4 linked regions of the Styela clava genome follow. The protein of the gene in region 4 purifies or fractionates together with the protein of the main gene of each other region. This does not show direct contact. Links are inferred from orthologs where the notes say so. Each region holds a gene or a part of one and is shown on either strand. Other genes may lie near its edges.

What was found.
Region 1: the proteins of E3 ubiquitin-protein ligase CHIP-like (region 4) and protein arginine N-methyltransferase 5-like purify together in Homo sapiens (affinity purification with western blotting; 3 studies listed by BioGRID and IntAct, with this or other methods). This does not show direct contact. The link is inferred for Styela clava from reciprocal best matches to the Homo sapiens genes STUB1 and PRMT5.
Region 2: the proteins of E3 ubiquitin-protein ligase CHIP-like (region 4) and proteasome subunit alpha type-3-like purify together in Homo sapiens (affinity purification with western blotting; 3 studies listed by BioGRID, with this or other methods). This does not show direct contact. The link is inferred for Styela clava from reciprocal best matches to the Homo sapiens genes STUB1 and PSMA3.
Region 3: the proteins of E3 ubiquitin-protein ligase CHIP-like (region 4) and dnaJ homolog subfamily C member 13-like purify together in Homo sapiens (affinity purification with mass spectrometry; 3 studies listed by BioGRID and IntAct, with this or other methods). This does not show direct contact. The link is inferred for Styela clava from reciprocal best matches to the Homo sapiens genes STUB1 and DNAJC13.

Annotation. Positions count from the first base shown.
Region 1 is NC_135260.1:10,097,542-10,104,841, forward strand, and holds protein arginine N-methyltransferase 5-like, read right to left. Parts: upstream 3,012-7,300; 5' UTR 2,936-3,011; coding exon 893-2,935; 3' UTR 527-892; downstream 1-526. UniProt on the Homo sapiens protein: Arginine methyltransferase that can both catalyze the formation of omega-N monomethylarginine (MMA) and symmetrical dimethylarginine (sDMA), with a preference for the formation of MMA.
Region 2 is NC_135256.1:8,850,405-8,855,827, forward strand, and holds proteasome subunit alpha type-3-like, read right to left. Parts: upstream 1,536-5,423; 5' UTR 1,489-1,535; coding exon 733-1,488; 3' UTR 529-732; downstream 1-528. UniProt on the Homo sapiens protein: Component of the 20S core proteasome complex involved in the proteolytic degradation of most intracellular proteins. This complex plays numerous essential roles within the cell by associating with different regulatory particles.
Region 3 is NC_135261.1:3,151,820-3,159,599, reverse strand, and holds the start of dnaJ homolog subfamily C member 13-like, read right to left. Parts: upstream 3,013-7,780; 5' UTR 2,942-3,012; coding exon 2,871-2,941; intron 818-2,870; coding exon 742-817; intron 1-741. Other genes in the region: solute carrier family 22 member 15-like, read right to left, coding at 6,619-7,780.
Region 4 is NC_135250.1:2,576,089-2,583,279, reverse strand, and holds the start of E3 ubiquitin-protein ligase CHIP-like, read right to left. Parts: upstream 3,016-7,191; 5' UTR 3,010-3,015; coding exon 2,185-3,009; 3' UTR 1-2,184. Other genes in the region: ectopic P granules protein 5 homolog, read right to left, coding at 6,190-7,191. UniProt on the Homo sapiens protein: E3 ubiquitin-protein ligase which targets misfolded chaperone substrates towards proteasomal degradation.

The sequences.
Region 1 (7,300 bases), on a different chromosome or scaffold from region 4:
ATCTCTGCTTTTTTCTACCACAACCTTTCTTAGAATCTCGCAAAACAACGGGAACGAAAAAATGTTTACAACAATGCCTGCATATCTGTCTGAGCGATTGAATAAATTACAATAGTTTCGTCATTGTTAACTCGTTGCTGATTTGTCATTGTTAAGGAAATAAACAAAGAAATTGATTCTGTGAAAACATCCTTTGTACTGAAAATCATTCAATTTCAGATAATATGAAACACAAGTTTATCATTATTTTTTACAATTAGGACACCAAAGTCTAAAGTGCTTAGGTCCTGTACTGTACTGCCCATCTCCATTAGGTCACGAAATCTTATGTCATGTCCTTGCTGAGCAACATCCTAAAAATTTTGAGTGTAAAAATTCAATGAAGCTGAGAATCTAATGTCATTAAATTTGACACTGCCTTCAAATATTTATCTTAAAACTCACAACACCTAAAGATGGATTAACATGGTAGGAAGATACTCTTTGTACAGTTTCCCCACACACTTGAGACAAATTTAACCATATGTTAGAAATGAATTTTCTAATATCAAACAAGTGAACATAAATGAGGAACATGCTTTCCACTTTAATCATAATGCATTTCATAAAATATCGATGGTCCATGCATCCTTGTATATGGCAAGTGATTGGATTTGGGAACATAAATTATGGATTTGGGAACATAAATTAAAACAGCAATGATTGAATGTTTATATGGAGACCATGTAATTATATAATCCAAAATAATAATAGTATAGAGAGACCCATTTTAAACAGGCATGAAAACATAACTTTTACATGTTTAGAATTAATCATTCAGTCATTGGATAATAATAAGCATGCTTCAGCATCACAGTCATTTTCAAGAAATGAATTTTTAGAAAATTTTACATCATAGCCCGATGGTATAAGATCTACCATTTGGGTTGTGTATTTGACTTGCTTGTGGAGAAGTGACACACCATTCATACCAAACCTTTTTTCCATTGGAACAACGCCAAAAATCAGTCTGTAATGTACAACCTTCGGTAAGAGGGATTGGATTCATCAAGGGAACGAAAATTGGAAACCAACTGAACATTCCCGGTGAATGTGTTTTCGGTTCGATACTGATTTCAACATCTTTGTACAATGCGCATCTGAAATAACCACCAAATCCATGCAGCATAGTGTCAAAAGGAATTGTGCAAGAAAATTGTTGATATCTTGTGTTGTGACTATTTGTTGGCATTGTCGGAGTTGATTTGATTTGATTGTTAGCTTTAGTTGGATCAATGTGATTGTGTTGACTATCTTGAATCTGATTAACTTCAGTTTTCCCATTCGTTTCCATGTCCTCTTTATCCTTTACATCTTTTTTGCTGAACTTCTTGTCCCAAACTTCTGCGGAAACGTCGGCATGGAACTCTGGTTTAGGATTTTGACTATCCAAATCCCAGTTTGGATGATTGAATGTGAACAACGGAACTGGTTCAGTAAGTTCATGATAATTATGAATACGAACCACATACAAAGTTTCAAAAGCAGCTTCGGGTGTCTTATTTTTATCCAGACCCATCACACCTTTTATCTCATTGTAAAGTTTATGAGATGAGATAGGAGATATGTAAGATGTGTATGACTGCGGGATACTGACTGCATCTGGTTTTAGGAAGCGATTTGCCCCGTCTAAGCACTCCGGTGACAATTCATTGTCACCCAATGATCCTAGCAACTCTGAAACAACAATATCAGCTAGCTCAGGAGCCTTCCAAAACCTCATATCAGATGAAACTACAGTGACATCATAGTCTTTCCACTCTGTCGTGCACAGATGTTGCAAAAGTACAGCAGCATTTCTGTTTTTTTCTACTGCATAAAGACGAACTTTTCTTTGAGCTCTTTTAGCACCTCTGAGTGACATTCTAACGAGAGGGCCGCGACCCGCACCAAGCACCATGATAACAGCTGTTTGCTGTTCTTTTGCGGAATCAGGAATTTGGTCAAGCAAGCAACGATAAACTGCTTCCTCATACTTTTTATATTTGATAGGATCTCTTTCAAAGATTTCATAGGTTGACGATTCCAAATTATCCATGAGAGGCTGGAGTGGTGCTTGCAAATGATCTTCATAACCTTTTGAAAATTTTTCATATTCTCCTAGATTTTGAGCACCTTGGAATAAATGATCCAAGTATTGATGATACACTAGGATTCCTTCTGCATTATTCAAGTTAGGACCAGACAATACAATTTGACAATTCAACTTCATGAGATTTTTAACAAATTGCTGATGAGCACGGGACAAAACAGGAAATCCTTTTTGATTCATCAGAAAAACAGAAGTTGGAATATAAACCACACGAATAGGTTCACCTTGCCATCTTTCCAACTGACTCGGTAAGTCTGCAGTTAATTCCAATGCTAATCCGATTCTACTGTGATGGCTGCATAAGGTTCGAAATTTATTCCACCAGTGCCATGTATCCTCCTCACAATTTCTGGAGTGTAAAGGGACTTTAACCCATATGTGGACATTATGATGACCTTCATATAAAAAGGTGTTTATCATTCTGGCAATATTTGAACAATTTTTGCTCTTGATTTCAACAATAATCGCAGGTAAGCTCAAAAAAGCAACAAAATGAAGCTCTTGTTTCACAGCTTCTTCCGCACAAATACGCTTCTCTGTTACAACAGATGTCAAATCAGGAAAATAAGAAAGTTTGCCAACGACAAGGGAAGCCCATTCTTGTGAATTGAATAAAAATGATGTGTCTGTAACACCACCAAGTTTATTACATAGATTCGCTGTTTCAAATGGTGTGCAGCCTTGTCTGACAACATTCGCACATATAAAGTCATAGCCATTTCTACTAGAATTCTCAATAGATTCTTCAAGATCTTCAGTAAATTCAATATCTAGTCCGCAAGATACACGGTTTCTTGAGGCCATCTTAGGTTATAGTAAGCTATAATTTTAAGTAGTTATATTATTGATTTTGGTCCTAAAATTTAAATAGTAAAGCACACTTTTACCAAATCTCTAAAAACTTGTTTTTTCTTTAATGCCAACGACTACCAAACACATATATGGTCACACAGGATTAAAAATGATGAAACATGACTACCAGTATGTTTTGTTCAGTTTTCAACGGCATAAAAGGATGATTTACATAAGGTTAAGGAGGACTCCAGAGTAGATACGATCAAAATTATTAAAATATTTTTTTGTACCGTTTCAATTTGAGGCATGATACTGACATATAAACAATTATCCGCAACAATTATACACTTTGAAAAAATAATCTAATTCGCTGATTGAAAAAAATTTTACCGAAGCATTTGAGTTTTTAGCTGAAAAACATAATTTTGGTCACCAGACGTCCAAGTCATGATTGATTTAAATTATTACCGAGAGAATCTTGGCGTGATGTAACTGTTTTAGAGCCAAAAGGGAGTGCTTGTTATATTGAACCAAATGTTGGGACATCTTGGAATCGAAGAACTGTGCCCTAATGATGACTGGATGGTATAAAAGTAAAGTCGAATCATGTGAAATTTCAGATATTTAAATACTGATTGAATCGAAAGACCAGAAAAGGCAGCAAGAACAATAGCAGAATAGACTATGTGTGTGTCATAAGATAAATTGTTATAATGTTTTCTTATTCCTGTATTCTGTTTAAAATGAAGTCTGAAGGAAGGCTACGATGACATTTATGCCAAAATAATTCGCACACTTTCCACACACAGACACACATGTAGGCTACGGTAGCTAACTTGTTTCTAATTCTCATATTTAATATATCAGTAGAAATTTGAAGTCAGGAGTTCATTAATTATAAACTAACGTGGAATCATACTACCATAGCATCCATAAATGCGTATTACATTGTTTGTCTAATAAAAAAAAAGAAAAGAATGCGGATCGAGCAGGGCGGGAACTAATCCTTATGGATGTTTGGAATTATACTACAGTACCATAGTCAAAAGGTTTTGAACAATAATTTACAAGCAAGTTGCCAAGATTAAACCCTCACACAGATCGAGACTATTACATGCTTCCAGTTAGCAAATCAACATGAAGTAAATACAAACATAAACTCCACCCCACCTGCTATCAAAGAAAATATCCCCGCATGCACCAGCAAAGTGCACAATCCACATGCTACTAGTGCGGTGGTGTATGGAGTGGAAATCTAGAGTCCGAACGTAATTCGATTTAAGTACACCTGCATATATGAAATTTACGTATATGCCTTTATGTGGTGATTACCACCGTAATATAAGTAAATTCAAGTTTGAATGGAATAGCTAAATCTTAACACATAATGTCTTATTTTCCTTATTATTTTCCAATTCTTACAAAATTATTAACATGGTGTGGCAAATTATTTTTTTTTAATTTGTTTGTATATTATTCTTTTTATTAGGTAATATCTTTTATGTTTCAATTTTTATTTTAAACCTTAGGATTTACATCCTGAAGGATCCTATTTTAAACCTTACTTAAGTTTTTTTTGCTCTCCTGATTCTGTAATCAGTTTTATTTACTTAGTTTTTATCAACAATTTTATTGTCTATTGTGCTGATCATGGAATCGAAATAAACTATTCCACGTAATAGTCTACGACTACGGTATGTGTAAATGTTAGTTCTTCATGCGTTTATATTCTCATTTTTGAGGAAATTGCAGTTGATTTTATTCAGCGATCCCGTCGGGCCGTGGTTCTCATAGTGCGTCGTTTCAATTTTGCTAGGGCGTCCCAAAACTTTTTTCTTTTGCGGAATCGTACCTGTTTTGCGGTGCGTAAAAAAGTTTGAAAACGTCTAAATATCGCTGTAGAAATGTACGAGCGTAAAAATGATACCGAACAAGAAGTATGATGAAAGCTACTTGGACTTTGGATCGTTCAAGTTTCGAGTAAAAAAGCGCTGTGGTTTTTGTTGCAACTGGGGATGCGATGTACTTACTACATGCCGTTCAGGCTTATTAGGTAACCGGTTTCACTGGCTGAAATCTTGCTACAACAACATATTACGGCTTTTGTTCGCCATTTTGTGAACGGAATCGATATAAAAAGAAATTTTAATCACGAAAATGTTATGAGTTTTTGGATTTCCCCGGATAAAGATTATCCTTCCTTGCGGATAAAAAAAAGGCATTGCGCACTCTCATCCCCCGCGACTTCATATTCATGTGAAGCAGGCTTTGCTACCATGGCTGTAATAAAGGCAAAATATCGTTCTCGAGAAAACGTTGAAAGGAAAATGCGTATTCACCCCAAGACTCAATGACAATTGTGAAAGGAAGCAAGAACACCCATCACATTAAATGCAATTTCACCGACTTTCGGTAAATTTTGTTTGCTTGTTTAAATAAAGCTCATTACAAAAAGGTCTTTAATTGTATTAAGACGTTTTCACGGGGAGCCGCAACTCGAGCATATTTTTCGGAAGGCGTCACAACACAAAGAAGTTTGAGAACCACTGCGGTTGTAGGCAATCCGTAACTGACGTCCCAAACATAGGCCACATGAAACACTCCACGACAACAGGGGTCTCAGCAATCCTCCCCCACTCAAGATTTGAATCCGCACACATTAAGCACGAGGCATTTTACTCCCATATTTTTTCATTTAAGTTTCTGTGAACTATGAAAACTAACGCAAATTTCTCAAAAACCAGACTGTGTAGTTTACAGACTGTGTCAAAATAATACTGCCGTATCAAAGATACTGATACCTTAAACTTTAATAAGTAAAGCTCAATTAAGTTGATAAAATACAAATTAATGTATAGACTCTCAAGTTTTATTACTTGTTTCAAACTACCAAAGTTCCACAGATAAATTACAATAACTAAATTACATTTACTGGTCACATAAAAATGAACCAGACCTAATAACTACATATGATGAATAATATGCACAATGCAACTAATGTAACAATGATTCTAGGGCTAACTACCAAGCCAGTAAAATGCCAACAATCCACACAAATTCTCATAATTAGCACTACTGGGTATAAACTTGAAACCAGACGATACTTGACAATGAGTGATAATAAGGTCTGTTTTAGATCAGTCGAGAGAAGTTTGTTCATCGAATATAGATAAGCTGACCTGTGCGAAGTGGAAACACTTCTCCGGAATGCAGTTTTAGATTGAAAGAAATATAAGCATTGCACTGCAAGAAAAAAATAAATAAGCAAACTATATTGCGCTACCCCGTCTATATATGCAGCTCAGAAAAGACAGAAGCAGTAGAGATGAGACCTTGCGATGTAATATGCATTGCTTCAAACGAAAATTATGAATTTCATCTTGAATTTAGAACATACACAGTTGCATTGGAATTGGCAAAACCTAAATCTTTGAAAGTTGGGCAGACACAGTTGATGAATTAAGACATCAAAGAAAAACTTGTGCAAAATAATAAAGTTGACTTTCTGTGTATACTATATACATGTACAGTACATTAATTGTAAGACATAAATCAAAAATTTGACAGAGTTTGTACAACGAAAGTGCTTCGATGATATAAAATAAATTGTCAATCCTACATAAATATAGATGATAGGATAAAGTAATCTTGATTAAATAAAAAAAACCAGACAAACTTAAACTATAATCACAATTAGATTTTCAGCCTTACAAAGTGCAATAAACGTTTGTCCGATAAATCCCCAAAAAAGTGTATTCTATATCCATAATATTACATGCAATAACTGTCCATTTGTGATACATTATAGCAAATCTAAGGAAATTTATTGCAGAAACAAACTTTATTTCATTAATATTATCCCAATATAGCAAATTAAGAACATGGTGAAGAAAACAATAAAACCAAATGGAAAATAAAAAAAAAATTATTAGTACCTTGTAATCTAAAACAATAAAATAAACTAGAATAACATATTGAAGAAATTAAAGGTATGAAAGAAAGGTTTGGATAGACATATTCACATAGTAAGACGAGGAACGATTTTGTTTTCACCTTAATCATGTTTTGCAATATTTCTCCGAACGAAAAAAGTTGGAAATCTGTTTAAAATCAGACATATTTCACCTAAAGTGTTGACAGCATAAATGTCTTGAACTGGCACTTCCTTTTACAAGGTATATATGCTTCACTGGTCCTGACAGTATAAAAATAGCCTAAAACTACATGGAATTATTACAATTACATAACAGTATACATAGAAAAAAACTTGTCACTAAAGTACGAAAAATAGTTTATTCAGTTCAGAATTTACTCTCTGAAAGCATGATAATTTTATTAATCAAACTCGAACCATTAAGCATCACTAAAAAATTG
Region 2 (5,423 bases), on a different chromosome or scaffold from region 4:
ATGCAATGTTTTGTGTAAGATATCAAAAGCTAGTGATTGACTGATTTGAGATTTGATTTGCTCCAAGAACCAACCTCTGCGTTGATGAAACTATTAGGCTGTACAGCTCAATGACTAAACAAAACAGCTTTGAATCGTACTACTCCAGGTATTATGATAGTGATGTGCAGACCAGCATTGTCATATTTTGAATCTCAAATTCCAGATAATTATTGATATAATCACTATTTCTGCAGTTCCAAGCGGCAACTTCGCATGGAGGCATAAGATTATTAGGGTTTTCAGAGATTTGGAAAATTATTGTTTTTCCTGCTATGGTCTGAATCGCAAATAACAAGAACTGAAATTTGTCACTTAACAGACACAAAATAACAAATTTAAAATGAATCAAGTTGCGATAGTTTCATAAGTTAAATGGCATTGTGTATTTCTGACTGAGTTTTTATTTCTTTTTCCAGGTATGGACTACCGACCAAACAATCTCAAAAGAATAAAGCGGCATGGCAGAAAAAAAAGATTGAGCACAACTTCAGGAAAAATTATTTTAATCAGACGAATGATGAAAAACGTTAACCCAAGAGTTTTAACACATTGAACAATGTTGCTGTCTGAATTTTATCTCAAAACAGCATATCTGGTATAGGCCATTGGTATATAAGCAGGAACAGTGGTTCCTGTTTGTTACATTAGCCAGTGTATCACTGTCAACGTTTGCTATTAAATTAAATACATTCAATCTTCGTCAGAATCGCTGTCTTCCATTGACTGTTTAGCGAAATCTTCAGCATCTTTTTTTAACCCGGAGGGTACCATAGAATGTTTTTTCTCTGTGTCCATACCAACCCAGCTCAGTTGAAGATCGAAATCTTTATCTTTCACTTCATCATGGACAATATATATAATTTTTGCTGCCTCTTTCAACGCCTCCTTGCAGGTTATATTTTTAAAATCAATTTTCTCTATCTCTGTTTTCGCTGCTTGTTTTGCTTTTCCAATAGCACAGCCATTGTAACCCCAAGACACACCAGAAGGATCTATCATATGTAGTTCTGGTTCGTCCTCATTGAATGATGACATTAGAACACTTGCTCCAAATGGTCGATAAGCTCCATATAATGTGTAAAGATGCATGTACATTGCGACTCTGCGAGTAAGGTATTTGAGAGGGATTGGGCCACCAAACTCTGAACGATAGTAAGCCGCTTCATCTCTAGCAATTTCTACTATTTGTCTTGCATCTGCAAGTAGACCAGCAATCGCCATTCCCACGTGCTTATCGATGTTGAAGATTCTTAGGTTTGAATCGTCTTCGTGCAATTTAGATATAATTAGTTTTTCAACTGCCATAACCACGCCATCTTTACACTTGATGGCTATTGCAGTGCTGCTGTTTTCCACAGCCTTCTGTGCATATTCAACTTGAAAAATCCTGCCATCTGGAGAGAATTGATCAGCACTCAGATCGTATCCCGTTCCAATCGAACTCATAGCTAGCAAGGTATATTAACTGAAATGTGGCACAAATAAATTACACAGGGCAATTACTAATTAGCAATGTCGTACCAAAAACACAGGTAAATTGTGGCTTATTGACTACATGATGTAGTCTATATCTAATATTTTACTGCATGTCTGCAGGCCATTGTTTCAATCTAGATAAATCTCTCGATGGGAATTTGGGTAAAAAGGGTCATATTTCACTGAATTTACAATTTTGGTGTAAAATAATAGATATCTCCCAAGGACTTGCACGATAAATGCCCTATCTGGTTGAAAAGTCTTCTTGAGGAAGTGAATGGAACAAAGGGTTCATTGAAAAATGAGTAATAATAAATGTCTGTTAAAAAGGAGTAATATGTTTAAAATGGAGCAGTCAAGTGGCTCATCTTAAAGCATGATAGCCTATGAGGTACCGTAACCTAGTAAGTAAGCCTACTGCTACACTTTGCAGCATGGGGGACTCAAAGTTACTGCTGGAACATAGTAAAAACCACTGCCTAGTTCTGTAGTACCGGTACCTATATTAACTCGTCTCCATTTCATAATCAGCATAGGCCTAGCAGACTTTTTCAATGTGCGTTGAAACAATTCAAACATATAATTGTCCGCGAACCTAACTAGACTATAAATACATGAAATATTACCAATGAAACAAGCATCCAAGTCTCTGTCCATTTTTACCTATATGTCAGAGCACCAATTCATTGTTACCGTACGTTATCTATATTGAGCTTTTTATTATATAAATGTTACCGGTAGCCAAGCTGTTGTAAATAACCTTTTTTTTATTAAAGTTTTAAGCCTCCGACCCAGTATCGGTACCGGTACGTACGGTACCGGTAACCAAGTTTATTTTATTTTTTTAAATTATTTTTGTGGTTATTATCTGTAACTGGCTTTCTCATAAAAGTAATTGCTCACAAACGTCTGCCTGATCTAGTTGCAGTAAAGTAATTCCATAAGCAAGGTACGAAAATTAACAAACTGCCGAGTCATTTTTTTTCTGTCTACGTCACGATACGCTTATGGTTTCAGATTCGGATTATAAGTGTGCTTGCTCCAAAACAGAGGCGACCCATGTCTAAGACAAATTCAATAGTTACGAGATGCTAAAGTTTAACGACTTATTCTACTGCTGACACTATTTAATAATTATGTTTACAAAACGTTTTGTTTAGGCCAGCGGTTCCCAAATGATGTGCCGTGAGTGTAAAACATAACTAAAATATGATTGAATATCTACATATGGTATTTATTTTAAATGTTTCATTGTTTCTTAAATGCTGAGTATATATCAATAAAAATATTTTACCTTTATATGCCGTTCACTTTCTTTTACGTATTGTATGTCTCTATTTACTGCAAATTTGTGAGCTGCAGTTCATTTATTTTTGGTATTTCAAAGAAAAATCAAGAAGACAGAGATCAGAAAGAAAAGTTAACCTTTTGCTGATCGTAAGAATGGTAGTTCACAATCAACCCCAAATGTAAAATATTTTTCAGAATCAAATTCTGAATACGTCGCCATGAATTTCACGGCAGATAATAGAAAATTGTTTAAAAACTGGTTGAATGTGAAAAATGAAGTTACAATCACGAACGAAATTTTATAAAACACCAACAATACACGGAAGCACAATATGAGTTCACGGCATCGCTAAAAGCCAAAACATTCAGACACGTTTTTTAGCTCTTTCCACGTACGCTGGAAGGGTCGGCAACAGTTTGTTGCTCGCAGGGCCAAATTGAATAATACGTGCATTCATGGCTCAATGGAAGCCGTTCATCCAATAATCGCTAGATCTTTGTCCAAATAAAGTGATATCTCATTTTTTTTTGTTGAGGTTCAATATATTTGCTTATACAATGTTCCCAACATATCTGTACTTATTACACTGAATATTACTTAACAATAAATTGAATTATTATTGTACTGTAAGATAACTAAACGATCGCGCAATCGTCTGAGAGTGAGGTATTACCACCCAATTCGTACAGTATTAATCCAATTGTTTATACAGCACAAGTCGCAATTGAAATGAAATATTGGACTACCACATTTGGCGGCAAGTTTCATATTTAGGGCAGCAAGACATGTACTGCCAATCAAATGCAATGCTATGTTATTAATTTAATTGTTCTTTAAATATGTTTATCTTTCGGAGAGAATTAATCGGCACTCAGATCGTATCCTGTTTCAATCGAACTCATGGCTAGCAGGTTATATTAACTGTAAATGTGGCACAACTGAACATTAAGTTCACACAAGGTAATTACTAATTAGCAATGTCATACCAAAAACACAAGTAAATTGTGGCGTATCTGCGTGTTGACTACATGATGTAGTCTACATCTAACATTTTACTGCATATCTGCAGTTCAATCTAAATAAATCTATTGATGGGAATTGCACGTAAAAAGGGTTATATGCCACTGTAACTGAGTTTACAATTTGGGGGTAAAATAAGAGATATCTCCCAAAGACTTGCATATAATATGCCCTATTACGCTGATTGAAAAGTCTTCTTGGGTAAGTGAATAAAACAAAGCGTTGAATCGAAAATTGGTAATAAATGTGCCAAGAACTGTGTAAATTTTGTTATAAAAATTGCAGAACTCAAATTCAGCTTTAGTTATAAAATGGCTATGTCCTATTTTTGTAGGGACGTAGCCATTTTAGTAGGGACATAGTCATTTTATAACAACCCGTACTGAGAACTCGTCTGCGTAATTTTGCTATTGCCCATGTAAAACAAGAGAGCTAAGCTCAAATATATGGACACGTCACAAGTCCACAAATTTTTTTGAAAAAAGTAAAAGTAATAGCCTTCTGGCGACAAAATCAATCTTTAACGGCATCAATCTTTATTTTCTGGTCTATGACATTTCACCAATCGATTACGAAATTTTTAATGGAAGGAAATTAATTCATGCCGAAAAATGTTTTCTCAAGAATCTCCATTAATGGATGCTCCCTCGTGTTATAATCAGTATTTATTTCATCACCTTAAAGAAAATACACTTTATTCGAACAATCGAAAGAAGACACTTGAATATGGCAAACGATACGTTCAGAGGTTGGTGACACTTGGGCTGTTGTTAACAGCAGTGTGAACTGAAAAACCTATACAAATAAATTGATAGACTGCTCCATAAACATGCCAAATCATTATTTGGATTCAACGTTCACCAGGTATCACTCTCTTGGTAAATTGTTAACGCCACCATTGACATACTGATGCTAGCCAATGCTACGAAAGTATCAAAGTGTGTCGATGCTCGGAGAAACCAATATTTCAACGCTTATTATGAGAGAGATGGCGCTTACCAACTGCCTCACATGTACAAAATCATCATTTTATTCAATACATTAAATCAAGAGCTAATTTTGAGCTAGTCTGTCACAGCGTCTGTGATATAAATTCAAGATTAATGCAACTAAACTAAAGGTTCTCGAAAGACATGACGAACTATATGTGGAAACACAACTGAAAACTTGAATATCTGTCTGAGCGACCGCGCTAATTGCAATTGTTACGTAATTGCCGATTGGTCGCTGTTAAGAAAATAAACAAGTAAATCGATGCTCGAGGAAACATCCATAGCTATACTCAGGGTTACCAAATTTTTTTGACTTCAAAGCGGGACGCCTCCAAAGCCACGACCACTTAGCTGTAATCATGTAGCTGTAACTTTACTGTTCCTGATTTTACTACATTGGCCTACATTTGAAGCCATCCCAGCTGTCTTCATTGACAATATTGTCATCGAGAGTTCATGTGCAAATATTCGCTGTCTAAATGTCTGTCTCGGTCTAAAATTGATTTTACATGTGATACGTTCGCTGACAATGTTAGCGGGAAACAACGAAACAAACAAAATAACAAAAATTTGGCTGACTTGTCGGGACGGTGGGACAAGAC
Region 3 (7,780 bases), on a different chromosome or scaffold from region 4:
AAAAAAAATATCAGCACTTTAGCTAACATAACTTGTTCGGAACTCAAACACAGAACTTGATCATAATGGCATGGAACACAGACATCGTGAAGTGTAAGCCTAAAATGCTTATTACTACCGAGCCGAGTTTACAACCTAAAAACGAGAATATCGATCAAAGACCGAAGACTTATCGATCGAAACTGGTGTTTCAATTTATGACTCTATAGTGACACCGCATGTCCCATCACTAATTAATTAATAACTCGCTAATTATACGACATAATTAATCCAAAATAAATAGTCTTCTGGTCCGAGATATGAAGAATGTACATGCAAATTTGGAGCAGGTTCAACCTCGCCTTCGTTAGATATCGTGTTCATCTAACATACAAACAAGCAAACAGACAGACAAATACTTATCAACATACTTACCGATCTTAAAATCGATAAGTACGGTAATAAAGTTGCCAAACTAAGGGATCGGATTATACACACATAACTCTGATCGCGCTCAAATTAAATGACATTATGCTTACTTCAAATTCCATTAGCTACAATTCAAACCATGCTCTCACGAACAAAGCATGTGATTTGTAGGATTGACTTATATGCGAATTTTTATAAATTCACCAGTTTGGGGCCATTTTTAGGGGGTCGGCTTATATGCGAGGATATACGGTAAATATATTTAACTTACAGAAGTCCCAAATAAGCTCAATTTAATAAAAATGGTCTATGAACCTAACATGAATTTCTTACTTGATTTGTTACTTCTAATGTTGATGGATTATAAGTTGTGATTCCTTTCGTTCCAACAGAGAACACTCGCTTGTATCTGAAAATAGTAAAAGTTAGAAAATGAAACTGTTACTAGTTCATGAAAATGGGCCCTAATTCAATTGAATCCGATACATATTGGCAATCATACCAGAGACAGCTACCATGTTCATCCCTGTGCAGTGTAACATAATGGCTTAAGCAGTGCAGCTGCAAATAAGTTTTACGAGAATAAAAAAAATATTGCAGAACAATACTGAACGCTTATTGTCACTGTTTCCCGCGCCATAATATGCTCTCAAACCAGTATATTTATAAAGTGGTAATATCTTGGTATCTCAATTTGGGGATATATAGAAAAATAAATTTGATGAAATATAAACCAACATTAATTAACAGGGTACTACGGTAGTGTGTGTACCAGACCCTTCCCACAACTCGATGTGAAGTAGGCCAACAAAATTAGTTATCTCCATATCGGTACACACACTCCTGGAGCACCATTAACAGAAAGTACATTAGTGCATTCTGATATTAGTGTTCTGAATTCTGATATCAATTGTTCAGCAACATAATTGCCGGTATTCCGCAGAGTATCATATACAGGTCAGTGGGAAATACGATACTAACGACAAAACTCTGATTCAGAACTGAGTCATTCAAATTGATGCTTGTGTAAGCTTGTGTAGTCATATTCTTGCACAGAGAAAATATTTAAAAATCAAATTTAAAACTAAAAACAGGGGTTTATGGAGTGGTTCAAAAGTCTAACATCACACATTAAATAATCATATTATTTAACATTATGCCTGACCAAAAATCCTGTTTGAAAATTAAAACTGAAATTGGGGGTGGATTCATTCAGAAGTCTAACATTACGCTTCACAATTCTTATTATGTAACATTTTGTCTGACAAAAATCAGACTTTGCCAACTAATAGCAAAGAGATGAAAAAAAAATTAATTGGGTAGCCTATACAATAATCATATAGAACAGTCATTTATAAAAAGATCATTTGGGCCATTCCAAGCAAAAGTTGAATTCCATCAATTTTTTAAAAAGTGTAGTGAAAGTAATTTTTTTTTATTTTCGATACCAAAAGACATTGGAATTTTATTGGACTACATTGATTTAATCGAACAATTTAAAATTTCACCCAGGTTTTTAATGGTTTATAAAAATTGGCCTGAAATGTAGCAATTTTGGTATAATTGGCATATTTTGTGATGATTCCTGACACAAAGTGTTTGATTGTGTGGTACAGTTATTTCATATGGAATTGACGCACTGGATTTAAGTTAATAAAGTTTGAATGTTTGCAGGGTTGTAGGACATTTCTTCACCCATTTAACGATTTATTACCAGAATTTTAAGAGATGATAGAGGCCGCTATTCCGAAGTGGAAAAATGTCCTGTAGTGTCACATACAATATGCACATTATTGGCCTGGATTTACAGTGTTACATTAGGTGAATTGAGCAACACATAGGGGGGTAGTTCAGCTACTGCACCAGAAAATATTATGGGCTCCTACTGTACCATCGCAAAAATTTACAGCACAACACAACGTACTGTTAGTGCATGGTGGATTTGCCGTCCTGTAGTGTCACGCTATATTTTACTATATTTTTTTTATCAAAATGGCACAGAAATACAATTGTGTCAAGTGTGAAGCAAGACTCTTGAATCACATAGGATAGTTATTTTTGTTCATGATACAACAAATGCATTTTATGCATATGGATCCAATAGAGCAGTGGTTCCCAAGTTGCGGACCATGGGCCGTAATTTAATATGGCCCACCGATCTCAAGTGTGTGAAATAGTTTAGTACTCCAATTGTTATGTCTTCATCACAGTTTAAGCATGTGCATATTCGGAACAATTCAACTATATCAGTATTTCAATTGCTGTATATGTACCGGTAACGGCATTGGGCCCTTCACTCTCCTGGCCTGCGAATATCCTTCCGCTTCTAAATTTGGTCCCCAGTCAATCAACCTTGGAAACCACTCCAACAGAGCAATGGCGTATAGGAAGAAAAGATAGTAGCGAGTCTTGCATAACTACAACTAAAAGTTGAATTTAAAAAAAATTATTATATTTCTTACTTTCCTCTCCATGAGTGTTTCGTAGTGTAGTAGCACGCAATGTCAATGTTGTCAGGAATTAATTGCGACATTTTTAACCAATAACAGATAGTCCAATCCTATCTTGAAAAAATCACTTGGTGTGTTGATAATGTACCACCCAAATAGTCAAGGATATAGCATTTTACCCTATAATATATAAATCCCTAGAAATCTAAAAAATAATGCAATACACCATATATTAAAAAGAGCGTGTTTTTTTAAAGACAATCTGTGTAATATTAAATGTAGGACTGACAAGGTAAATTGTGTTATCTCTATAGTATAATAGGGAATACAGTATTTTCCGGCTGAAATGCCAACCCAGAAAAATTTGCGGTGAAAGCACATTATTGACCTCCTTTTCTGATATTTTTAGTCCAATATTAATAAGATGACCACTGGAAAAAACAAAAAAAGGGGAAACGCCCAATAAGTCTTGACCCCAGAAAATCAGGCCAAAAAATTGGCTTACTAGCTGGAAAATACAATATTTATGTAATATTATGATAATACACCACACAATAATTAAAGTATGACATTTTAAAATTAAACACAGCTGTAACAACGTATATTGAATAAGTACTATACTAACTTGTATTAAAAAGGCACAATTGTTTAAGTATAATATAGTAAAGCATAGGTTGGTGTAAGTGGCCGTCCATATTAGTTCAGTACTGTTAAATTAAAGGAGTTCCTTCTGAACAGACTTAAGTGAAAATTCAAAAATGTCCAAATGTCTTACTTTTTCAAAAACTGCAAAGTCTAAGTTACATAATAAAATTTGTGAAAGTGTTATTCATCTATTTGTACCACTAAATATAACCAACTTGATTCTTGCTACAATACCTTTATTCACTAACTAAAGGGAGAGAGAAAAGAGAGATAGTTATGCCATATATGTGAAGAAAAAAAACAATGTAGAAAAAAATATACAATACTGCTGCCTGATCAAATTCAACGATTTGTGAAAATTTCAATGACTAAACAGAATTTGGTCTCTAAAATTTTAACAAATATCAAAAGCAAATTTGAAATGATGGTAGAAAGCACAGTAAGATAACCAAAAGTGCAATATGCAATTGAAAAATGTTCATATAATATATGCCATAACCCATAAGCAAAATATGTGTTGAAGCTGTAATAGGGGTTATATCTTACAAATTTCAACACTTGATAGAATGAATCAAAATTTGAGTACTTGAAATGGAAAATAAACTATAAACCAAATTGTACTTATAAATGTATTTACTATAACATTTGTAAGCATAGACACTAATGGCAAGAAGCAAAGAACATAAATATTGCTAGCGCTTCGAATGCTTCTACAGACACATTTCAGAAATAAAAGCACTGAGCATGAACTAAAATAAAAATGTCACAATAATGACAATGTTGTACCGGTACTTGAAAACAACAGCCGAGTCCAGAAAACTGGATAAAATACTCCATAAAAGAATTCATTTCAAGTGATTTTCCATGCCATATAATATGAAACAAGAAATATCCTAATAACCTGGGTGTATGCTTTACGCAAAAAGAAAACTTTTAGCTTCAACTACAGGAAGATTTCCTTATTAACTTCTACTCATGTGACTTAAAAATGAGTGGAATAATAATAAGGCATTTAATCAAATATTAATTATAACGGGAAAGTATGTGCTTTTTATTTCAAAAAAGAAACCAATATCCCAAACTACAGAAAATTTAGCTCATTAATTAACAGGATCAAAACTTCTATTTAAAATCAATAAACTTTAAAAAAAATCACTTTGATAAATATAAAAACAGCATAAATCTCTGTAACTTGGGTATATACTTTAGTCAAGAATGAAATCTGTATTACATTTAAACAACAGAATATTTAAATGGTCAACTTATTCAAAACTCCTACTAATGTCATAAATTGGTCAATTTAGTTGTTTATGACTGTGCAACACTTGATTAAGGCAAGTTTGAAAGATAGAACATGGACAACACAGAATATAATAATATATAATAGGCTATATAATTAAAGGTCAATAATATTCATAAAATATTTTTTTCTAAGATGATCTCACTCTCAGAATAGAACAAAAAAGGTGCAAAATACATAGCAATAACTTATAACACAAATCCCATTAATCTTATTCCTCTAAACATGCCCAGAGCTAAACTAATAGAAACTTGAATAATAAAATATTATGCTATGAAACAAATACCAATATGTCAGAAATATAACTAGAGCATCAGACAAAATTCAAGCATGAGAGAACAGACATCTTACATTAGGGGAATTCCACCTCTGCAATTTCAATGTAAAAGGAAATCCCTCAATAGATAATATGTAGTGGACCAGATAGATAAGACTCCAGTTCTTAGATAGAGTAGCCAAGGAATAATTGAATTCTAAAATATTAGTGCATCAGATGTTGCATATAATCTTCCATCTGCTTTCAGGTTTTGGGTCATGAATTTACTTGAAGCAGTTCTACATAAAAAAGTTTTAGAAAATTCTAACATATAATTTGTTGAAATATATTCACTACGAATTATTCGTACTAGGACTTAGTGTCACAGTTGTTATACCCAGCAAGTACACACACAAAAACTTATAGCAATAATATGAATATAAAATAAACATATGTCAAAAATTTAAGTGAAATTGGAAATTTAAATCAAATGATTTGAAAAAGTAATAGAGATTGTAATCAAAAGATGTGTATTCTTAAAAATAACGAAGTTAAGAAATAACGTTTTACATTTCGAAAGATTGTTCATCACTTTTGGCAGTAGGCTATAGTATTGCACTGAAAATACAAATTTTGTGTCGCCACTTCAAAAATAAAGTTTAATGAAGCTTTGTTTCCTAGAATATTCAGAAAATTTAATTTTATTACTATATTCATCATTATGGTAAGTGGTAACAAAATTTTCATTGAAAATTTCAGTTGAAGCCTTTTGCCAGAACTCTTATTCCACTAAAAATTTGGCCCAACTCTGATCACACAAAACCTCTTCCGCAACCATTTACCGTGATAGGTGCGTACGGCATGTTACTATTTGTAGGGTCAGATTATATGAGAGAATATACAGTAATAAACCTAAATAATTCCCTTTATTATAAAATTAGCGACTACTTATGTATCAGTGGATATCAATCCGATTGTACACGGCCTTGTCCAGTGCAAAAATGCCTCATGGACAACTTGCAAGTAGGTAGGATTTTGATTCCAAGACCTAAGTCTAAATTCCAGCTCAATTCTTAGAGATCTTGGCTCACTTCGGAAAACCTTTTATGAATCAGCTCTGAAATTTCATAAAAAAGGCAATAATTGGTCGAACGAGCTCACGAGATTGCAAAAAGCAACATATAAAATACGAAAACTTCTATATTCAATACTTCCTTCTTAAATATTGCTAAGATAATAAATGTGTATCGGTACATAATATCAGACACAGATAAAATAATAAAGAAAACACAAAAACAACTTTTCAACTATAATAAGGCAAAAAATTAATTTTTTAAGAAAAGTACTACCTTTTTTTACTAGGTGAATTTAGCTAAAATTGAGGTAGGAAGATGTCCATTGAAAATGTTTAGCTAGCAGATGCTTCTTTGATAATATTCAGTCTGATATTAACGAAAAAAAGGCAATGAAGTGTAACCTGATACGGGATCGTCAAAACTATTTTCATGATATGATTATTCTGTCGAGTCACGCTTCACTTATCCCACAGCATCATTAAATTAACTTGTAATTTCTCCATCTTCTTCTTCATGTGTGTAAGCCTCATCAACTGTGTTAACAATTTTCTTTCCACAAGTTTCTGGAAGAAGTAGAGCTAAAACTGCAGAAATTCCACATAAAATTCCATAACATAGAAACGGTGTTGCGGAATTTGAATTCACTGTATATGTGGCAAGGAAAGGGGCCGTCATACTCCCGATTCTGGCTACTGTAGACATGCTACCAAGTCCGACATTTCGAACAACAGTAGGAAAAAGTTCTGGTGTATAAACGTATATTAATGTAAAACATCCTGAAGAACCAACTTTCGCAACCATTGATAAAATCAAACGAAAGTGTGAGTTTGCATCCGTGTTTGGAACTATATACATGATAAACATACTAAGTGAAGTCATGGACATTAATAAGCATAAAGTTCCGCGTCTACCACACCATTTCCGCTCCATAAAGTATAGACAAATTGGAACAGATGGAAGCTGACTAATAGCAGACATACCAAACGCAAGATAAAAGTTTGGACTGAATGATCCTGCTCCAAGTGTGATACAATAAAACACAAAACTTGTCGTGAACCACACAAAACTTAGTATTGCAGTTCGGTAACGCAATACAGGTTGTTTCACCAAGTCTAATATCGAATTTTTCACTTCTAATGGAGTCAAGGAACGATGTTGGGAATCAGAGTACGGCTCATCTATGTCTCCATCCCCAGTTACTAATTTGTAATACGAATGTTGATTTCCATTTCGCTTCGAAAATTTTTGAATTACTGCTTCGGCTTCATCCACCCGTCCTAGAGAGAGCAACCATCTTGGGGACTCAGGTGTAAAAATATAAAATAAATATCCTAGTAATCCAGGCAATGCGGCCACAACACATAGAGTCCTCCATGTAGGTATATAATAGGTAATTATCAAAAACACACACATAAACGAAGTGAAAGATATGTGACCTATAATACCATTCGTAACCCACATTTTTGACGCAGACATTTCTTGAAGCATAATCGTATTTACAACACTTAGTCCACCGATACCAAGACCGCTTAGAGTTCTACACGCTGCCATTTGTTGCCAATTCTGAGTGAATCCTATTAAGAGTGCAGCAATCATTAAAATAGTGTAAACCTTCCAACCAATGCTTCGTCTGCCATACTTGTCA
Region 4 (7,191 bases):
ATCCACTAAAGGTAATGTTGCAGGCTACTACGAATTTGGAAGGCAATTACTGTAGAGCAGTGTTTCCCAACCTTTTTATGGCTTTCAGCACTCATGGTCCCCCTGTTCATCATTCCAGTGGTATTTATGGTGTTAATTTGGTTTGTAGATTCTAGGTTCCATACGTGTTATGAGGAGCAGGTCCCACCTGAGACTTGGTGGCTTACCCTCTGGTCCACTTATCTCATAAACTGGGCTTATGTCCCTTTATAGCAGTGATTTCCAAAGTTGATTGACAGGAGGCCAAAATCAGAAGCGGAAGGATATTCGTGGGCCAGGTGAGCGCCCGCAAGGGGCGGTATCTGAAGCGCAAAAAGAAAAAAACATAGTGTAGTGAACTATTTTACTTACATTCGGTGGGCCATGTCAAACTGCTGGCAGGCCAAGGTTTGGGAACCACTGCTTTTTAGCAACTACCAAAATAATAAAACAGCTTAACAAATACAAGGCAATAAAAAATGATATAAATATAGTGAACCGTGTGGCAAAAAAAAGAGAGTTTGAAATAAAAAAAATATGTCACGAGCAACCAGTGCTCCGTTTATTGAAATACAGGATGGATGAAGCATTGATCTAGAGCGGGGGTTCTCCAACCTTTTATGTTATGGAGTTTGTGAAGAAATTGACTATTATTTACGAAGCCCACAACAAATTTATAAAAATGATATACTGTTACATAAAAATGATTCTCCAGAAAGCAACACCAAGCAACTTCTTAACTTCATGTTACATTTTTTCTATTTGCTCCAAGCAACCGGTAGGTAATTCGCCCATACTCGGAGGCAAAGGGGCGAGAAATGAAAAAACTTAGGTCCTAGATCAGGGATTCCCAAACCAGGGGTCACGACCCCAAAGTGGGTCGGAGTGATAAGTAGGCAAGGTCGCAAACAGGTCATGGAGTCGCTTAGGTATGGTAGAGGATGGATGTACAGTCGACTAAGATTTGACAAACCATGTTAAATTTAGCAGTTTGTACCATGGCTTACTGTAAACAGGCCCATAAGCATGGCTCTCTGCTTGTGCTATAGAAAATATAAAGTGCTTATTGTGACATCACTGTTTGGTTTTACCTTATTTTTTTACTTAATACCATCACATGACCAAACTCAAAAGTCCAGTGAAAGAAGTTTATATATATTGACCTGGGGTCGCACTGGACACTTGAAAGTTGTTTTTGGGGCCGTCCTGACAAAAACTAGGGAACCCGTCCTAGATGAAGATAAAAGAACAAAATTATGTCACCCAAACAAAAAAATGAATGTTTCACACAAAAAGAAAGAATACTGTGTAAAAAAATCTATATGTACAAAAATACACTTGAAAAAAATTTAAGTATTGAAGTGCTAAGATCACAAGCCTATTTAGAGTTTTGATAAAGAGAGGAGCAAAAGAAGTGAAAGTGACATCATAATACACTCTTTTGGATGAAAGGTGAAGTTAGGCTATCATAAAGAGGTTCTCTAAACCCAACCACAACAACGAAGTGCTCAGCAAACAGGCTAGGAAGACTTTCTGGAAATCCCTAAAAAAATGCCCATCTCGCATATGATGGTTGGCACATCAGATTCGTGTTCGAGCTGCATGGTCAAGCAATGCAATGGTAGGCACATTGGACCAGTCAAAGATTGAAGATACCAGGTTTAAAACCCCCTGTCCACCGCATCACGCCGACATTGTCAAATCTGTCTTTTCAAAATCATAGCATACCCTTACGTATCAGTAACCTGCTTGTCCAGGGCTTTGTTTAGAGCAGATGTAGGCAACCTTTGAAACAGAAGGGCCAGATACAAATAACTGGTGAAACCATGAGTCGCATCTTTATTTAACATAGGCTTTCTAGTATTTGAGGGCCCAAAAATTTTGGTTATCAATCTTATGACATGCGTTGCTCGCATTGCACAAGCTCAGGTATAGGATTTGGGTCCAGGCTTTGCAACGCAAATGGATAGAAATAACTTGAGCGTACCATTTTAAACTTAATTAAAAAACTTGTTCTGCGGGCCGAACATCATTCAAAATTGGCACTTCTCAGCGGGCCGTATAATTTCTCCTTGTGGGCCGCGGGCCACACACCCCTGGTTTAGAGAAAAAGTTCCAACCCTCTTATATGATTTCACAAGAAAGCGTTTAAATTAAAATCACATCTTAGTAATCTTCAGCCCAACCATTCTCTCCAATAAATTTCTCGATCACTTCGTGTATAGCCAGATTAGGAATCAATTCACTAGCAGTTAGTTTTTGTCTGGTAACGGGATCAAAATGTCCGACCCTTTGCAGATGTTCTTCGAGATCTTTGCGATCGTAAGTTATTCCACTCGGCGTAATAACAGGATCCTTCATAATTTCGAAACTAATTTTTCCGCATAGGAAATCTGGAACTTCACGTGTTTTCCTACGATCATCTACTTGTGCAAATAAGTTATTTAGTTCAGTTCGACGTTCCTCGAATTTTTTTTCTACATTTTTTCGGTCTGTATCGCTTGTGGAGTCGTTTTCGTCCAATTTGGTTATCTCACGTTTTTCGTCTTCAACCATTAAATTAGTGAGATAAGTTTGTAGTTCAATTTCCTGTGAAATACGTTCCTTTTCTAATTTATCCCAGCGTTTTTTCTTCGCGTTTCGTAGCATCGCTGCAATATCATCACCAAAATTTAATTTTTGTTGTTTTGCGAGTGTATGTGCTTTCTGTAACTCTGAGATAGATTCATCAAAATTTTCAAGCTCTGCAGTAGCATGTCCAAGAAAGAAGTGACCCTTGACGGATTGGGGGTCATAATCAAGGGCAGTTTTGCAGTCGTCAACGACGGCTTCCCATTTTTGTAGCTTTATGTTGCACAGAGCCCGATTTGTGAAGAAAACAGCATTATTAGAAGTCTTATTTATTGCCTTCGTGTAGCATTTTATCGCTTCTTCATATTTTTTTTGTGCAAACATACGATTACCTTCTAACTTATACTGCATGGCAGTCATTTTGATTATTTTCTAAATTAAAAAGACAAGATCACATTAATAAAACAACATAAATAATATATAACTTTACAATAAAATTAATAATATTCATTTTACAATTTCAATATTGCAGTGTTGAAACAAGCATAGATAAAAAGCACAAACAAAAATATAATATTTGCTTCCAAAAAATCATAAATACCCAATAAGCACGGTCTTCATTACCAAAATAACAGGTGACAAAAAAAAAGAAAACATGTTTTAATGCAGCTAATTAAGCCAGTTAGAGACGAGGGGTGTGCAAGCGGCGGCCCTCAATGAAAAATTGTGCGGCCCACGAAACGAGTGTTTAATTTAGCTCAATCTGCCCATGGGGTTGCAATGCCTTAACAGCTAGCCTAAGTGGACAGCACATGTCACAAAATCAATAATCAAAATTTATGCGTATGCAACTACTAGAAAGCCTATGTTAAATTAATGTGCTGCCCGCAGTTTCATCCAGTTATTTGCATCTGGCCCTCATGCACTAAAGGTTTCACACCCTAAGTTAGACTATAGCATATAGTTAAGAAGCCATTTATTCATTAATACTGGCAATATTTGGACTATTTATTATTTGCTATCAACATTATGCAAAAATAATAATGGTTGAGGAAATGAGAAGCACATACCATACTCTCTCAAAAATGAAGAAGATCAATTTTTAAGCGAAGTTACGAACAAGAAATGATAAATTTTGCAAGAGTAAGACCATGACACAGGGACCATAACACTAATATGAATTGTTTAGCTAAATTAAAATGTTTTTTTCAGCAACTTATGAACCAATGAATTTCAAATTTTCGACATTAAGAGATGCAAGCCGGTAGAGCATTACTTTTATATAACTGGTTTGTTACTGCTGAGAGAATTCACTTTTGAGCTGATAATAAATTTAACATTGAGCACAAATAAAAAGAGAAAGTCAAAAGATAATAGTATACCAGTATTTTAAAAGACGAACAAGCACCTATCATGTCCCCTAAATGCTGTGATCATCACCAAAATCATACAGAATATTTAAGCAATAAAATGAACAGCATGCATGCAGATTGTCAATAAAATAAACAAATAATAAGAACAGACCATTTCTATGTAACAATACAAAATAATAAGCAATGTGATATCACCTGATGTGGAAAATGACCCAGGGCGCCCCTCTTTTTGAAATGTAAAAAAGTACCCAAATAACTAAACACAATGAGATGGATAATAACAGAAGGATTTATAATAAAAATATCGATTCCTGTGATGAAAGATATCTGTTAACACTAATAGGGAAATCGGTGGTAGTAAATTTTTGGAGGGCAGGTACAATTCACTGAACTCATTAATTCACAACTACAGTTAGGCTCAACTGTACAACGTCTTCACCCTGAATAAAGAAATGAGCAAGCATTCACAGATACGCTAGGAGCCAGGGAGGGGTCAAAGATCGGGACCAACCCCTCCCACATTAATTTTTCGTAGCTTGAAACGCTTTTTAGACCCTCAAAACCCCTAAAAAACTACGTTTTCAGGCCAGACTTGCTAGCTGTTATGGCTCTAACTTAGCAATTAGAAATTTTAGAACCCCCCCCCCCTTATCAAATTTTCAATTTTTGGATAGGCCCCTGCAAGTAGTTACCATATAAAGGTTGGTTCATTTTCAAAAAATTGGATTCCTTTGTGCAATACAAAATTTGGGTTGAAAAGGAAATTGACAGCATGTTTGAATTGTGTTTACAAAGCGCTTGGGTTTTGGGGCAAAGATCCTTATCAAAGCATCCCTTAGTTCTATGGACATTCATGGCTCATATATAACAAATAATAAAATCGGAATTGGTCAAAAATTCACTCCACCATCCATCAATACTCTGAGAATAATACATCAGCAACAAAAAGTAGAATACTTATTGACAAAAGTAATAATAAAAAGAAGTACGAAAAGCTACAATGAACACTTTTTAAAATCGGATTTCAAAAAGACATTTTGGATGTCAAATTCAGCAAAAATAGGATTTATTAATGTGAAATCTATTAAGAAGATTCGGTTAGGAGATCAACTAATGAAGTTTGAAATACGGTAAACAATACAGTATTTTTGGTAATTTTGGCATCAGCTTATTTTAGGTACTTGCTTGAACTGTGCAAATTGTACCAAGGAATCTCAAGTCCATGCAGCTGAACCAATTAACTCAGGAGTGGGCAATTAATTTTCCTAGTGGGCCAGTTACTGGTAATATACTTGGTTACTGGGCCGGAAGCTCAAACTAACTGGTCGACTATTTCCACACCCTACTCAGGTACTTTCTCAGACCGTACCAGGCAAGGTACAGATAGCCAAGTTCATGCATCTGAAACTAAAGATTGTTGGTGTTTCCATACTGGTAAAAGGCTCGTAATATGATTAACTACTATGGCATTTTATTCTATTAGCCATCAAAATTTCTATCGAAGAGTTGAAAATATTAAGACATGAGCTCCATGACCTAATAATAAATTTGGGAATCCCCATCTGCAAATGAAAATTAAAAGTTTTAAGGACATACACAAATGAATTACAATATACTGTAGATCAAATTATTGTAGTACCAGTACAGTTCAATAGGGATTCTTTTGGAACTATGCTGACAGAAATAGGATCTCAAAATTTAAAATACACATATAATTAGAGCATAGTATAATGACAAATTTACAGACAAATATTGCAAAATAAACAAGGAGAAATAATCAACCTTACACCCCAAATTGGCCCCAAAAGTTGGCTGTGATTTGTGGTTACGATAATACAAACAGAATAGGTAGTTTAATTATAATGATATTATGAAAGAACTTTGAAATAAAACCTCGCCTGGCTACGGTTCAGGCCTAAAAAACTGAAGGTTGATGAACAAGTTATTTAGAATTCTAGAAACGAGTCTGCAGAGTCTGAGTGTTTTTTATTGGTAATAAAATTAATTCAGCAGTTCCATTTTTGAATACTGTGTGGACTCCTAGCTTTAAACTCCCAATGGCAGTGTATAAAGTCTAAATTTCTGATAGGAACCTAATAGGTCGAGATCTTGTTGGGCATAAATTTTCCCAGGCTCCCCAGCTAAGATATACCGGTAACTAACTTTGTGAAAAGGATACATGAATACCAACATTTTTGGATATGAAAAAACATTTTTGAAATTACAATTATAGAACATTCAACCAATCAGCCTCCTTTTGATAATGGAAAGCAAAAATATTTTTCATCAAAGACAAATGGGCAGCACATGTAGGCTTATCACTAATCTGTTGTATTAGGTCTAATAGTTCATGGATTCTGTCAATTTCTTGAGTGTACGTCCGATTTTCAAGAGGCATTTTCCGTAGACTATCAATGGCTACTTGAGCTTTGGTAAGAGTATCCTCTCCTTCGGGCCGTAGTCGTGCTGTTATCTGTTGAATATGAACTGAGATGCAACGAATAGAGACTCGAAATCCAATTGATAATGAAGTAGCACGTCCGATTCCAAAAGTTCCGAGTATGCCTGTCTTAACACGGTCAGTACTCCAGTGCTCTAACACGGGAAGAAGTGAATGAAAACTCTCGGAAACTGAGCTAAGATTAACTTCAGATTCTGGGGAGAGTTTAGCGTCCTGTTCCAACGTATCACAAACTTTCAATGCATATCCAATTAAAAGCAACAATTTGGCTTCATTATCGCTTTTCGGAATCAAAGACGAGATCCATTGTACAATAGAGAAAAAAGCACTATACATTGGGCCATTAGAGTCATTTCCATTGCCGCAACGTTTCGCTTCATCGACTATATTTTGCGATAATGCAAGTATAGTATTAATGCACCCATTTGATAGACATGCTTCTATAAGCTCACTCTGGGAGACTTTACAAACTTGACTTAGGGTGTGGCAAAGATTCTGCCACAAGTTCAAAACTTTTGGGAGCCTATCGTCGGATGTGGTTTTATCCACTTCGTCGTTCACTTCTGGGTGATACTTAGAAATCAATTTCAAACATGAATCAAGCCCGTATTCAGCCACTACAGCTAAATGCAGAGGACTTGAAATTGTGTTTGCTGCCGAAGATAGAATGCTTGTCAAAACCAAGTCGACAGTTTGTAGAGATTGTGTGTCCATTGACAAATCAAGCGTCGATAAAACAACTTCATTAAGGAAACTTAAAATCTGTGA